Linked DNA regions of Mus musculus: all the other regions are reported to be linked to region 4. The links are microRNA targets in miRTarBase. Many come from high-throughput screens and were not tested one by one. Region 4 holds a microRNA gene; each other region holds the end of a gene's coding sequence.
What was found. The annotated mature microRNA mmu-miR-466b-3p reads AUACAUACACGCACACAUAAGA and lies in region 4 at 1,353-1,374, opposite strand. An mRNA with a match to its seed (bases 2 to 7 or 8) in the 3' UTR can be bound and repressed. Matches are read on the target gene's strand: a 7mer-m8 pairs with bases 2 to 8, a 7mer-A1 pairs with bases 2 to 7 and ends in A, and an 8mer does both.

Region 1 (3,000 bases), not on the chromosome of region 4:
AGCTCTGGGGAGGCAGAGAGAGTTGTGCTTAGTAGGGACGCTAGCCTAGCGTGTTTGGAATGTCCTGAGATACTCTGTCTGAAATCACACACAGAAAAGATGACGATGTCTGAACTTAGGCTGGGCCTACAGGAGCGCATGCTCACCACTCCTGAGCCTCCCGCCTCCACCACTTAATTGCGGGAATGAGAGCCTTGTGCCACCACACCTGGCTTATCAGCATGTCTGCTGGTTTGCTTTTCCAGGTCATTGCATGATACCAACCAAGTGAGCAGGAACGAAATCCATACAAAGGAGATGGTGGAGGAGAGTATGCAGCTGCCCTCCATAGAGGCCAAGGAAGACGATGAGCCAATTGGGATAGACTTTCCCTTAAAGAGCGAAACAGTAACCATCTGTGTAGTGGCTGCCGACAAATCTCTCCTGGAGGATGCAGAGGCCAAAAACGAATAAGAGTTTGGTGAAATTCTTATCAAACCTTACTTGAACCGTGATGAAAATGTGGGCGGGCCGGCGTGGGCTGAGAAGGGAGGGGACAGACAGAGGAGAGAAGAAGACAGAACAAAGCTGCTTTTAGGACTGAACAATCTATTTTCAAAGCACTGGTACCTGTGTGAGTGAGTATGTAAATTAAAGTTATTTAAATGGTTGGAATATGTGGCTCCTTTCCTGTCACGACATCCTTCCTTCCGGATCTTCACCACGGAGATTTTCATCTGCTGCGGTTTGGGAAGTACCTCCCGTGGGCACGGTGGTCTCCGTGACCCTCTCGGACAGTGTGTGGAAACCGAGGCTCCCGGACACAGAAGACTTCTCCTAGGGGAACAACTTTTGGGCGCACAACTTTCTGTGCGTTTTTCTAGTTTTAATACCTTAAGCTTTTTCAAGACCTAACTGCAGCCGCTTTGGGAGAAAAAAAAATAACAAAACAGAAAACAAACAAAAAAAAACTGCTTTGCATAAAACAGTCACCTGTTTCCTAGTACCTCAGACTTAACCAAGGGAATTCTCTGCATTTGTCTGTACTACCTGTGGCCCTTGTGGTTAAATGTAGAGAGAACTGCTGGACAGGATGGTGAATGGAGAAAAAAAAAGAGTTTTAAAGAAAGGAACACAAATTGTGCTTAAAATCCCCACGTGGGTTTTATTTCTTAAAATACTGTGATTTTTTTAATTATTTTAGTAAAAAACAAAACAAAAAAAAAAGAAACAGACTTTAATTACTAGATAACTGTGTGTGAATTGTCATCTTGTATTCCAGGTAAGCTGTTTATTAGTGTTCAGCTATAATTTAGAATTTGGTAGGTTCATGTGAACTAATTTTATGGTGATCGTGGGATTTCGTTGGCCACATGTTTATTTTTTTCTCGATTTGAGTGTTACAAACACAGCACAAATTCAGTTGTTCTTTCTTCATATGAGTTGTTCTCTGTGTGTTTGTTTAATTTGAGGTCAAGGGAGAGTTAGAGGGTGTAGGGTGTGTGTGTGTATGTATGTGTGTGTGTGTGAATTTTTATAATTTTAAACATGAACATAACAAAGAGGTTAACTTCCTTTTAAATTTGTTTTTGTGTTTGTTTGCTTTTTAATTTAACTAAAGAACCAAACTCCGAGCACAGCTATGCAGTGGGGGGGGCCAGACAAGGAGGTCCCGTCACCCTTTTGGGTTTGTTTGTTTTTTTTTTTTCTCAAAGCAACACATTTCGTCTCCCCAACGATTTCTGTTACATTGGGCTGGCCTTCGTGTGTGCTGTGAACTCTGTTTTGTTTGCTTTGTGTATTGTGAGGCTGTCTCATTTCTTTGGGGAGCCATCCCTTCCGTGAGCTTGGACAGGAGATGCCGCATCCTGCAGGGAGCCTGGAAAAGTGCTTTGTCTGCGCATCTAGCTGCTCTGTTTCCCCACAGTGGCTTCGTTTATTTTATTTTATTTTTTTCCAAGAGCAGCTTAGACTGAAAGCAAGTCTACATTTATAGCACATTATGATTGTGAAAATGGGGTTTTGTTCCAAAAAGTGGAAAGGAACATTCTTGAAGCTTAGGGGCGTGTGTGTGTGGGTGGGTGGGTGTGTGCGCGTGCGCACATACGTGTGCTGGTGTTTGGATGTATGTGTGTGGGCAAATATGAGTCCTAGGTTTTGTTTCTTTTGTTGTCCTTGTTTGGGTTTTTGTTTGTTTGTTTTTTTTAACTTGGAAGGGTTGATGGGGTGGGGGGCGGGCCAGAAGGGAAAGAGGGTAAACTGAGGTGTCAGTGTCCCACACAGCTTCAGAGAAAATCCATGGAAAGATATCGCATTTGTGAAGTAAGTACGTACTTGAAAAGCATGATCTTGGTTTTGCTTTGTTTTTATTTTTTATTTTTGTTTTTATTTTTGATTTTTAGTTTTTGCTATTAAGAATTTTTATTTGTAGGATGTTTAATTTAATTTTGTTTTTAGGGATGGGGCCGTCATGTGGAAACCAGAACAGGGGGAAGTGTGAAATATCTAGACAGATTCTTCTGTGTCCTTACTCGCTTTTGATTGGCCTCATTTCAAATGTACTAAACAGTTTCATACCTGGACTGGATGTCTGTGATGGTTACCAAAAACAAACAAAACAACGAAAGGAAAAGAGAAAATAATTGTGACATGCTTCTATCACTACTTTATTTTTCAAATAACATGTAAATATTGTAATCCATTGGATTTTGTTTTGCTAACCTGATAATAAAAATATGGGACCATTATCCTTTTAACAAGGCTAGGATGTCATTTTTTTGTTTTATTTTTCAAACATATACCTGATATTTTGTGGCCGCACATTTTGGACGCATTCTGTTTTCTGTTGACTGTAATGACATAGAATTTACAAAATTTTTTGTTGTTGTTGTTTAATTTATACAGAGGACATTTTTTTTTCCAGAGCTTGAGAGAAGAAAATAAATAGCAAAATGATAACCTATTGACTCCAATAATCAGTGTTTCCTGAAACTTGATGAAAGATAGGGGGATCCTGACTCC
Region 2 (3,106 bases), not on the chromosome of region 4:
AAACCACCCCGCAGTCCACCCGCTCCACGCAGCGCCGCCTCTCAGGGCGCAGGCGCGACCAGCTCCGCTCCAGGAGGGAAGATGGCAAGCGCCGAGGCTCAAAACTCTTCGCGCGAGTCCTGATCATCTCGTTACAATGAATTACAGCGCTAGTCTTCACTTGCACTTCCCCCCCCTCTTTCTTTCTCTCCCTCTTTCTTTCTTTCTCTCTCTCTCTCTTCCTTCCTTTCTTCCTTTCTTTCTTTCTTTCTTTCTTTCTTTCTTCTTTCTTCCTTCCTTCCTTTCCTTCCTTTCTTTCCTTCTTCCTTTCTTTTCCTCTTTCTTTCTTTCTTTCTTTCTTTCTTTCTTCCCCTCTTTCTTTCTTTCCCTCTTTCTTTCTTTCTTTCTTTCTTTCTTTCTGTCTGTCTGTCTGTCTGTCTTTCTTCCTTCCTTCCTTCCTTTTTTCTTTCTTTCTTTCCTTTTCTTTCTTTTCCTCTTTCTTTCTTTCCCTCTTTCTTTCTTTCTTTCTTTCTTTCTCCCCCTCTTTCTTTCTTCCCCTCTTTCTTTCTTTCCCTCTATCTTTCTTTCTTCCCCTCTTTCTTTCTTTCTTTCTTTCTTTCTTTCTTTCTCTCTCTTTTTCCTTTCTTCCCCCCTCCCCCTTTCTCTCTCCCTCCCTCCCTTCACCCCCCCCCCTTTTTTAAAGTAAGATCTCGATACTTAGCCTTGGTGAGCCTATGTATCCGGGTTGGCTTCGAACTCTCACAGATACCCTTGCCAATGTCTCCTGACTGCTGCTATTGAAGACATACTGCTTTAAGAATGTTTTTGAGCTGCTCCTGAAACCTCTTCACCCTGGATCAGGTCAACTGCTATATAGAACATACAGTTTGGAGTTCATGCCCCATGAACATTAGTGAAACAGCTGAGCAAGATAAAATACTAATGACGTTTGCAATGTATCAGAATGAGATTGAAGATGTACAACAAACACTCCATTACAAAATGAGCATCCAAAAGAAGCATATCACAACACTGTATCATTTATTTCTACAAATGCTTGTGAAGGAAATCTGCTCTGGCCAGCAATTCCCTACAAAGATGGATAAATCCCTCTTTCAGGGATCACTGTGTTCCATAGCTTTGTTTGGACTGTGTCCTGTGTCTGTACCTTTAAACTTAATTGACTCTTGCTCTTGGGATAAGAAAGCTGGCAGTGATTTGCAGGATAGTCCTACCCTGTGAAAAACACCACCATAGCAATCAGGAAGACTTGGGTTCAGGTTCCGCCTATGCCATTACCACCTTTGTGTGATACATTCCTCTGTTTTCACTTCTATGAAATGGGATCATAATTATTCATAGTGGCTCTGAAGGTCACAGACATGAAACTGGAGGAGTAACTAGACCAGGATGTTAAGTACTTATACAGCCCTCTTCTATCCCCCAGTAACCTAAGGAGTTAAGCAAAGGGTGTGGTTTCTGTTCATTTTTACATATCCACCCTGGCTGTCCCACTCTCCTGCTCCCCTGTCCAGTCTCACCCTGCTGATTAATGACACTAATGTCAACTGTGAACTGCCTAGGTTTAATAAGCTGCACTACCATTTCAGTCAATCTTTTTAAAAAAAGATTTATTTATTTTATTTATGTGAGTACACTGTAGCTGTCCTCAGACACACCAGAAGAGGGCCTCAGATCCCATTACAGATGGTTGTGAGCTACCGTGTGGTGGCTGGTTATTGAACTCAGGACCTCTGGAAGAGCAGTCAATGTTCTAAACTGCTGAGCCATCTCTCCAGCCCTCATTTCATCCAATCACTGAAAGGACACATCCACAAACATAAACAAATGACACAGGACAACCATAGGAAAGATTTAAGGGGCTCTCGGCTCCCTTTTAGTATTGGTGTTTGTAGAACTTCAGTCTTTGCCGAAGTTTTAAAAAAATTAAGTCTTTTCCATTTTTCTGTCATATTTTATTAAAATAAATTCAGGACAGGAGCTTTCACACATAGATTCTGACATCGTTAGAAAACAATTTTAATTAAGCACAGGACAGTAATAGTAAACATAAAACATAAAGTCCAATAAAAGTAGAAAGTCTCTAAAGAGCAGACATAGTCTTACACACACACACACACACAGATACACACAGACACACACACAGAGGCACACACACACACACACACATACATACACACACAGAGGCACACAGACACAGAGGCACACACACAGACACAGACACAAACACAGACACAGAGACACACACAGACACACAGACACACACACAGACACAGACACACACACACACAGATACACACCACACACAGAGGCACACACAGACACACATACACACACACACACACACCTACCAATGCAAATACAGACAAGTTCCTTACAACCTTACCACCTGGTCGGATCCACATGCCTTACTCTTTCCCACAAAGGCTAAACACAGGCACACAATGTGCTTACACATGCTCACATACACAGACCCCACTCCCACTACCTTGTTCCTGTTCATCATTTTAACTGTCGACCTTACTCTAGGTCTCTCAGGGCTCCAGAAGGAGACCTTTTCCACAAGGGCTTTAATATCCAGGATGCACGGTCTTCATCTTCCAGGTTTCTGGTTTCTGGGGGACTGAAGGCTGTTTACTTCCTGGGGTGTATTGTGAGCGGGCCATCAATGGGTTGGCTGTTCTCTCCATGGTCTATGTACTAGGTTCAGATCCCCCCAGCTGTTCAGATTTGGCTGTGGCTTTGAGGATGTGTCATATGCCAGGTCACTAGAAACCAGAAGGTAACCCTGAGAGGAAGGCAGAATAAAGACAATTTTAAATTAAGGCCATATCTGGGTTTGCATGAGAGAGGAAAGTTTCTTTGCCAGGCCTGAAAGCATCAAACTTTTCTCAATCCCTATGTGAGGGCCACTGATGCAAGAAGTGGCCATTCTGGATTACTGTCCCTAGATATGACATTGGTAGTGGGGAGTGAAAAAGAGGGAGTCTGGGAGCTATGAGGAAGTGTCCACTAGTGTGCAGGTGGGAGATGCTTTCTGAAAGTAGAAATATATTTCTACTTTCCCAAACTACAAAAAAACAAAACACAGAGAAGAGGCAGCAGT
Region 3 (3,109 bases), not on the chromosome of region 4:
CCACTGGAAACAGTTCTGCATCGTCTTCATATTCAAGGAACACGCACAATTATTGACAACACAGACCTTGGCTACGAAGTACTTCCAATTAATACGCAGTATGAGGGAATGAGAGACTGTATAAATACCATAAAGCAGGAGGAAGGAGTGTTTGGTTTCTATAAAGGGTTTGGTGCTGTTATAATACAGTATACACTGCATGCAACCATCTTACAGATTACCAAAATGATTTACTCCACACTTCTTCAGAATAGCATTTGAGATTTAGGTTCTATGATTGGCTGAACCAAAAGATGTTGGATAATTTGCTATGACATTTCAAGTAATAAAAGTAAAAATACTGCGCGGAAAGAAATAGGCTGGGAATTACCACTGGTGGAAAACCTCATGCTAATTATTCTGACTTTTTATTTTTCTTAAGGCATAGATATATAGATATATAGATATATAATACTGGGTCAAACCTTTCCAAAATTGAAAACTCAATAAAGGTAATACTTTAAATTTAAAATGTAAAGTTACATTTTAGTATAACACTCATGCTGAAGTAAAATTGATCCTGGGGAGAAACAAAAAATGTATCAAGTATAAAATGAAATTGCAATGACTTGAATCTGTTTTACTGACCTTACTATTTGTTATGTTTGTTTAACTTGGATTCAGGTCACTGTGTTAATTATTAAAGCAGTGGATAGTGCTGGGATTTTACCTTTAAGCAAATAGAGTATGTCACCGTTGAAAAGAACTGGTGATTAGCTTTGGCACTGTGTAAGCAGTGGCTGAAGGGTTTAAATTGTATTTAACCATTTTAATTGCTGTATATATTTATTATATGGAGCCATTTGTGTCTGTGTGTACATGTAACTTGGAATTTCCTTCTTCCCTGCCAGTTTTCATAGACCAGCTTATTGCATCAAATGAAGGTAGACACTTTCTGCTGGAACATCAAGTATAAGACATCAAAATGCCAGAAAATAGCTTTTTTACCTGCATCCTGTCCAGCATTGCAGTGTCAGAAACTTGAAATTTGTCCTTTGCTTGTGATGTTTGGATCATCAGATGATTTTAGCTACTTTTAAAGAGCCTAACAATCATGGCAGCCATGACCGTTTCCACACTTACGTTAAGGAGCCCCACCTGTCTTTCATTTCTCAAAGAACTTATCTGAGAGGGAACAAAATGAAAGTTCTGGGGATTTGTGCCTCTTGCTCACCATAAATAATCACTGCAATCTTTCTTTTTTCTTTCCTTTTTTTGTATGTGTGCGTGTGTGTGTGTGTGTGTGTGTGTGTGTGTGTGTGTGTATGTAAAGTTTTATTCTCCAAATAAGCTACCCTGAAGATAAAAATGAGACATTCTTGGTACTCTTTATTTAAACTTGCTTGGATAAGTACTGAATTAAAGTACAAACCTCATAGGAAATTTGCCCTTATGTGTTACGAAGGAGGAGGAGGAGACACTATATTTCAACAAATGAAACTTGTTAATCAGCTTAATAAAATGAAGTTGATGTGTTCCCATGGTGGATTAGACTCTGTAATAAAGTGATGTATAGTTCACTGGTCACTCATGCAGCAGTTAGCATTTTATTTCTTCATGGCTATGCTCAAGTTTACAAACACTGAAGTGCAGTGCCTGCAGGTGTTGCCCAACCTAGAATGCATGCAAACTAACACTGATGTTACATGTTAAATGTTGCAGAGGGTGTTTGGACTGTGACTGATCAGAGTGGAAGCTTAATATGGTCGTGGAAAAGCATGAAGTAAGGTGTCAGTAGCAGCTGTCCCTACCAGTCTGTGTCTTTGGAGTAATGCTGTCAACTCTTCAGTTCCTCAAAAGGGAAAATAAATGCTGTTGATCACATTCTGTATTTTATGGTTAATCTCTTAACGTGTTTTTCTCTGTGTAAAAATGGGGTTAACATTTTTTACTGACTTTTAGCTGCTAAATTTTTAGGTGTTTATAGTCACCTTCCTCAGAATTTCATTTTGTAAGTCAAGGTAGTTTCAGAGAAGAAACCAGAAAATTTTGGTTTCAGAAAATGTTTAGAACAGTCTAAATGGAATCAAATATTTACTGGGTAAATTTTGTGGAATTTTCCATGTGCCTGAAGATTAGATATTCAAGGATTATTTATTGACAGATACCATGAATTTAGTAATATAAATTTATTGCATCTGAAGTCAAAATGCTGCTGCTGAACTAAATACATGATTAGTCTCATTTCCTGTTTCCTTGCAGAAATCCACGCAAATTACCTTAAAATAAAGATGGAGAGAGTTTTTTTTTCTAACTGCTTTTTTTTTTAAATTTGTTAAAATGTAACCTTTGAAAGTCAAACACATTTTAGTTGGCCAGTGTTTCTCAGTGAATTGATACCTTTTACACTCAGTATGACAAATAGCCCCGTAGATGTGATTCTGTTAAGTAGAATGCAACAAAGCACTCACTCGCTGATTGTGCAAAAAAACGCTACAGTGCTTTTATTCGAGAATCTCATAATCTGAGAAGCAGAAGACGCTGCCTTGACAGCTGTACTGTTGTTGGTCGAGGTCATGGAGGATGTGTGCTGTCTATGTGGGTGTGGATGCTGTAGAACAGAAAAGACATTTCCAGCTCCTGCAAAAACTACCTATGTGGAGAGCCGTGAACAATCGCCATTACAAGATGGCGCTGGCTTCTGCAGTGCCTAACTAGTAAACAAGCAATGTGCACGGGTGCTGGAGTAAATTCGTGCCAAGTCACTGCCCATCTCGGGGTGTAGCAGTGGGGTGATGAGTGAGCAGCTAATCAGGAGCTGACGCGTCACACGGAGGGGTATTTAAGCAGCTCCATTTTCCGGGTTCAGGGTCTTCCTGAGAAGTAAGCAATAAAAAGCTTTGCCGTAGAAGGACCCGGTTGTCCGAGTGTGTTTTGCTGGCGAGATGTTACAAGGACACACCTAGGTTAAGTGACTTAGAAAACTTATTTAAGGGTTCACATCACACTGAAGTTAGAGTACTACTTACTGCTGGCATTTCTGCGTTCTCTTCAAGTATTTGGCATAATACATATCACTTCCCTGCCCCTGAATAGGTACCATCTTATTTTTATTAATAGAGTACTAGTT
Region 4 (3,109 bases):
TACACACATCCACACACAACTATACACACATGCACATACATGGAGGCATCACATGAATGCCAGGCTGATCTCTAACTCATCATGCCGTTAACATGAATGTGCACTCCTGATCACCCTGAATCTAGCAAGTCTTCTCCTGGTGACTGAGACCTCTCTCTGTCAGCCCCAGTCATACAGAATCTCTAAGACTCTAAGTCACTAATTATTCAAATAGATGGATGAGTGCCAATTTTTGTGTGTTTGTATGCATGTTTGTATGGGTATGTGTGTATGTATATGTATATTCATATACACACATGTACATGCACACATACATATACACACAGGCATATATACTAGGGTCATCACAAGACTCCGAAGCTGATCACGAACTCATCATGAAGTTCAGCATGAATTTTGATTCCTGGTCATCCAAAGTCTGGCAAGCAAGCATTTTCACCTTGTGAGTGAGAGCACTCACTGGCCCAGCCCTGCATAATCTCTAAAGCTCTGAGTCACCTGTCATTCAAAAGGATCAATGAGTGACATTCCTCTGTGTGTGTGCGCGTGTGTGTGTGTGTGTGTGTGCGTGCCTGTGTGTTTATGTTTGTCTGTATGTAGATGTATATTTGTATACACACATGTACATATACACAAAACTATACACACATGCACATATATGGGGGGAGGATGCCATGAGGCCAGGCTGATCCCTAGGTCATTTTGAAGTTATTCAGGAATTTGAACTGCTGATCCAAAAGGCAAGCGTTTTACCTGGTAAGTTAACTGAGACATAGCTCTGGCCATTCCTGTGAGTGAGTGTGTGTGCATGCGTGTATATGCATATTCATATAGAGAAGTGTATGTGCACAAAGCTATACACACATGCACATTCTTTATGGTCATCACATGAATAGCATGCTGATCTCTAACTCATCATGAAGTTAAACATGAATTTGAACTCTTGATCCACCTGACTCTGTGGTGTGAGACCTCTCCCTATTGAGTACTGCAGAATCTCTAAAACTCTAAGTCACATATCATTCAAATGGACTGAGGAGTGGCATGCGTGTGTGTGTCTGTGTCTGTGGATGGGTCTATGTGTGTGTAGGTATGTATATTCATATACACAATCCACACACAGTTACACACATATACACATACATGGGGACATCACATGATTCCCAGGCAGATCTCTAAGTCATCATGAAATAAAGCATGAATTTGAACTCCTGACCTCCTGATTCTAACAAGCATTTTTAACATGATGGGTGATAACTCTCCCTGACCTAGTCACACATAATCTCCAAAGCTCACAGTCACATAGATCAATGAGTGAGTGCCATTCCTGTGTGCCTGTGTGCTCATATGTGTCTTATGTGTGCGTGTATGTATATGGATATCATATTCACATATGTACATGTACACACACATAAACACATATACACATACATAGGGGCAATCACATGAATGCCAGGATGACCTCTAACTCATCATGCCTTTACCATGAACTTGCACTCCTGATCTTCCCGACTCTACCAAGGGTTTTCCCGTGGTTTGTGAGACCTCACCCTGGCCCAGTCATACATAACCTCCAAAGCAGTAGGTCACATATCATTCAAATGGATCCGTGAGGGCCATTCCCGCATGTCTGTGTGCATGTGTGTGTAGGTGTGTGTATGTATATGCATAAAATATACACGCATATACATGCGCGCACTTATGCACACAGGCACATACATAGGGGCCATCACATTATTCCAGGATGATCTCTAACTGCTCATGAAGTTAAGCATGAAATTGAACTCCTGATCCTCCTGACAATGCCAATTGTTTACACCTTGTGAGTGAGACCATTCACTGTCCTTCTACTGCATAATCAGTAACATTCTAAGACATATATCATTCAAATGGATCGATGAATGCCATACCTTGGTGTGTGTGTGCTTGCTTTTATACGTGTGTGTGTGTGTGTGTGTGTTATGTATAATCATATACACACATGTACATGCACACAAAATTATGTGTGCATGTACATACCTAGGGTCCATCACACGAATCCAGGATGATCACTAACTGATCATTAAGTTAAGCATGATTCTGAACTCCAAGACTTCTGATTCTGGCAAGCGGTTTTCATCTAGTTGGCGAGATATTTCACTGTACCATAAATATACACTCTATGAAATTCTAAGCACATATAAAACTTATGGATGACTGCCATGTGTTTCTGTATGCATGCATGTGTGAATATGTGTCAATATATGTCTTTTCATATATCCGCATGTACAGACAAACTTATCTATACACATACACAGAAACAATCACATGAATAACAGGCTGATCTGTAACTCATCAGGAAGTTAAACATGAATTTGAACTCTGGGACCTCCTGACGCTGGCAAGAGCATCCACCTCCTAACTGAGACATAGCTCTGGCCCAGCACTGCATAAGCTCTAAAGCTCTGAGTCACATACCATTCCAAAGGATATATGAGTGCCATTCCTGTGTCTGCATGTGTGTATATGCATATTCACATAGAGAAGTGAATATGCACACAACTACACACACATGCACATTTTGGTGTGCATCAATGAAACACATGCTGATCTCTAATGCATCATGAAGTTAAACATAAACTTGAACACCATATTCTCCTGACTCTAGCAAGATTATTCACCTCCTACCTAAGAAATAACTCTGGCCATTCCTATGAATGTGTGTGCATGTGTGCATATGCATATTCATATAGAGAAATGAATATGCACACAACTATACACACATGCACATTCTTGGTGGGCATCACATGAATCCCGTGCTGATTTCCAACTCATCATGAAATTCAGCACAAATTTGAACTCCTGATCCACCTGACTCTGGCAAGGGATTTCACCTGCTGAGTGAGACCTCTCCCTATTCAGTACTGAGGAATCTTAAAACTCTAAGTCACATATCATTCAAATGGACTGAGGAGTGGCATTCATATGTGTGTCTGTGTATGGGTCTACGTGTGTGTAGGTATGTATATTCATGTACACAAATCCACACACAGTTACACACATATACACATACATGGGGGCATCACATGATTCCCAGGCAGATCTCTAAGTCATCATGAAATAAAGCATG

Region 1: the mRNA of Zfp462 is a reported target of mmu-miR-466b-3p. Seed matches in the 3' UTR shown: 8mer at 622-629 and 7mer-m8 at 1,488-1,494.
Region 2: the mRNA of Bpifc is a reported target of mmu-miR-466b-3p. Seed matches in the 3' UTR shown: 7mer-m8 at 2,170-2,176.
Region 3: miRTarBase lists Slc25a46 as a target of mmu-miR-466b-3p. Seed matches in the 3' UTR shown: 8mer at 1,303-1,310.

What each region holds. Positions count from the first base shown.
Region 1 is chr4:55,080,421-55,083,420 of GRCm38, forward strand. Zfp462 (zinc finger protein 462) reads left to right here. Exons shown (of 13, transcript NM_172867.3): 13 at 246-3,000. The coding sequence ends at 453. Among named protein-coding and RNA genes, the nearest start is that of Gm42289, 13 kb to the left of the region's middle.
Region 2 is chr10:85,957,754-85,960,859 of GRCm38, forward strand. Bpifc (BPI fold containing family C) reads right to left here. Exons shown (of 16, transcript NM_177772.4): 16 at 1,938-2,788. The coding sequence ends at 2,666. Rtcb (RNA 2',3'-cyclic phosphate and 5'-OH ligase) reads right to left here and starts at 40. Exons shown (of 12, transcript NM_145422.4): 1 at 1-40.
Region 3 is chr18:31,580,343-31,583,451 of GRCm38, reverse strand. Slc25a46 (solute carrier family 25, member 46) reads left to right here. Exons shown (of 8, transcript NM_026165.4): 8 at 1-3,109. The coding sequence ends at 261. Among named protein-coding and RNA genes, the nearest start is that of Gm38606, 11 kb to the right of the region's middle.
Region 4 is chr2:10,506,233-10,509,341 of GRCm38, reverse strand. It overlaps Mir466 (microRNA 466), which reads right to left and starts at 1,424; the gene lies at 1,352-1,424. All of the region lies in intron 10 of Sfmbt2 (Scm-like with four mbt domains 2), which reads right to left. It overlaps Mir467d (microRNA 467d), which reads right to left and starts at 1,712; the gene lies at 1,628-1,712. It overlaps Mir297c (microRNA 297c), which reads right to left and starts at 326; the gene lies at 229-326. It also overlaps Mir669c.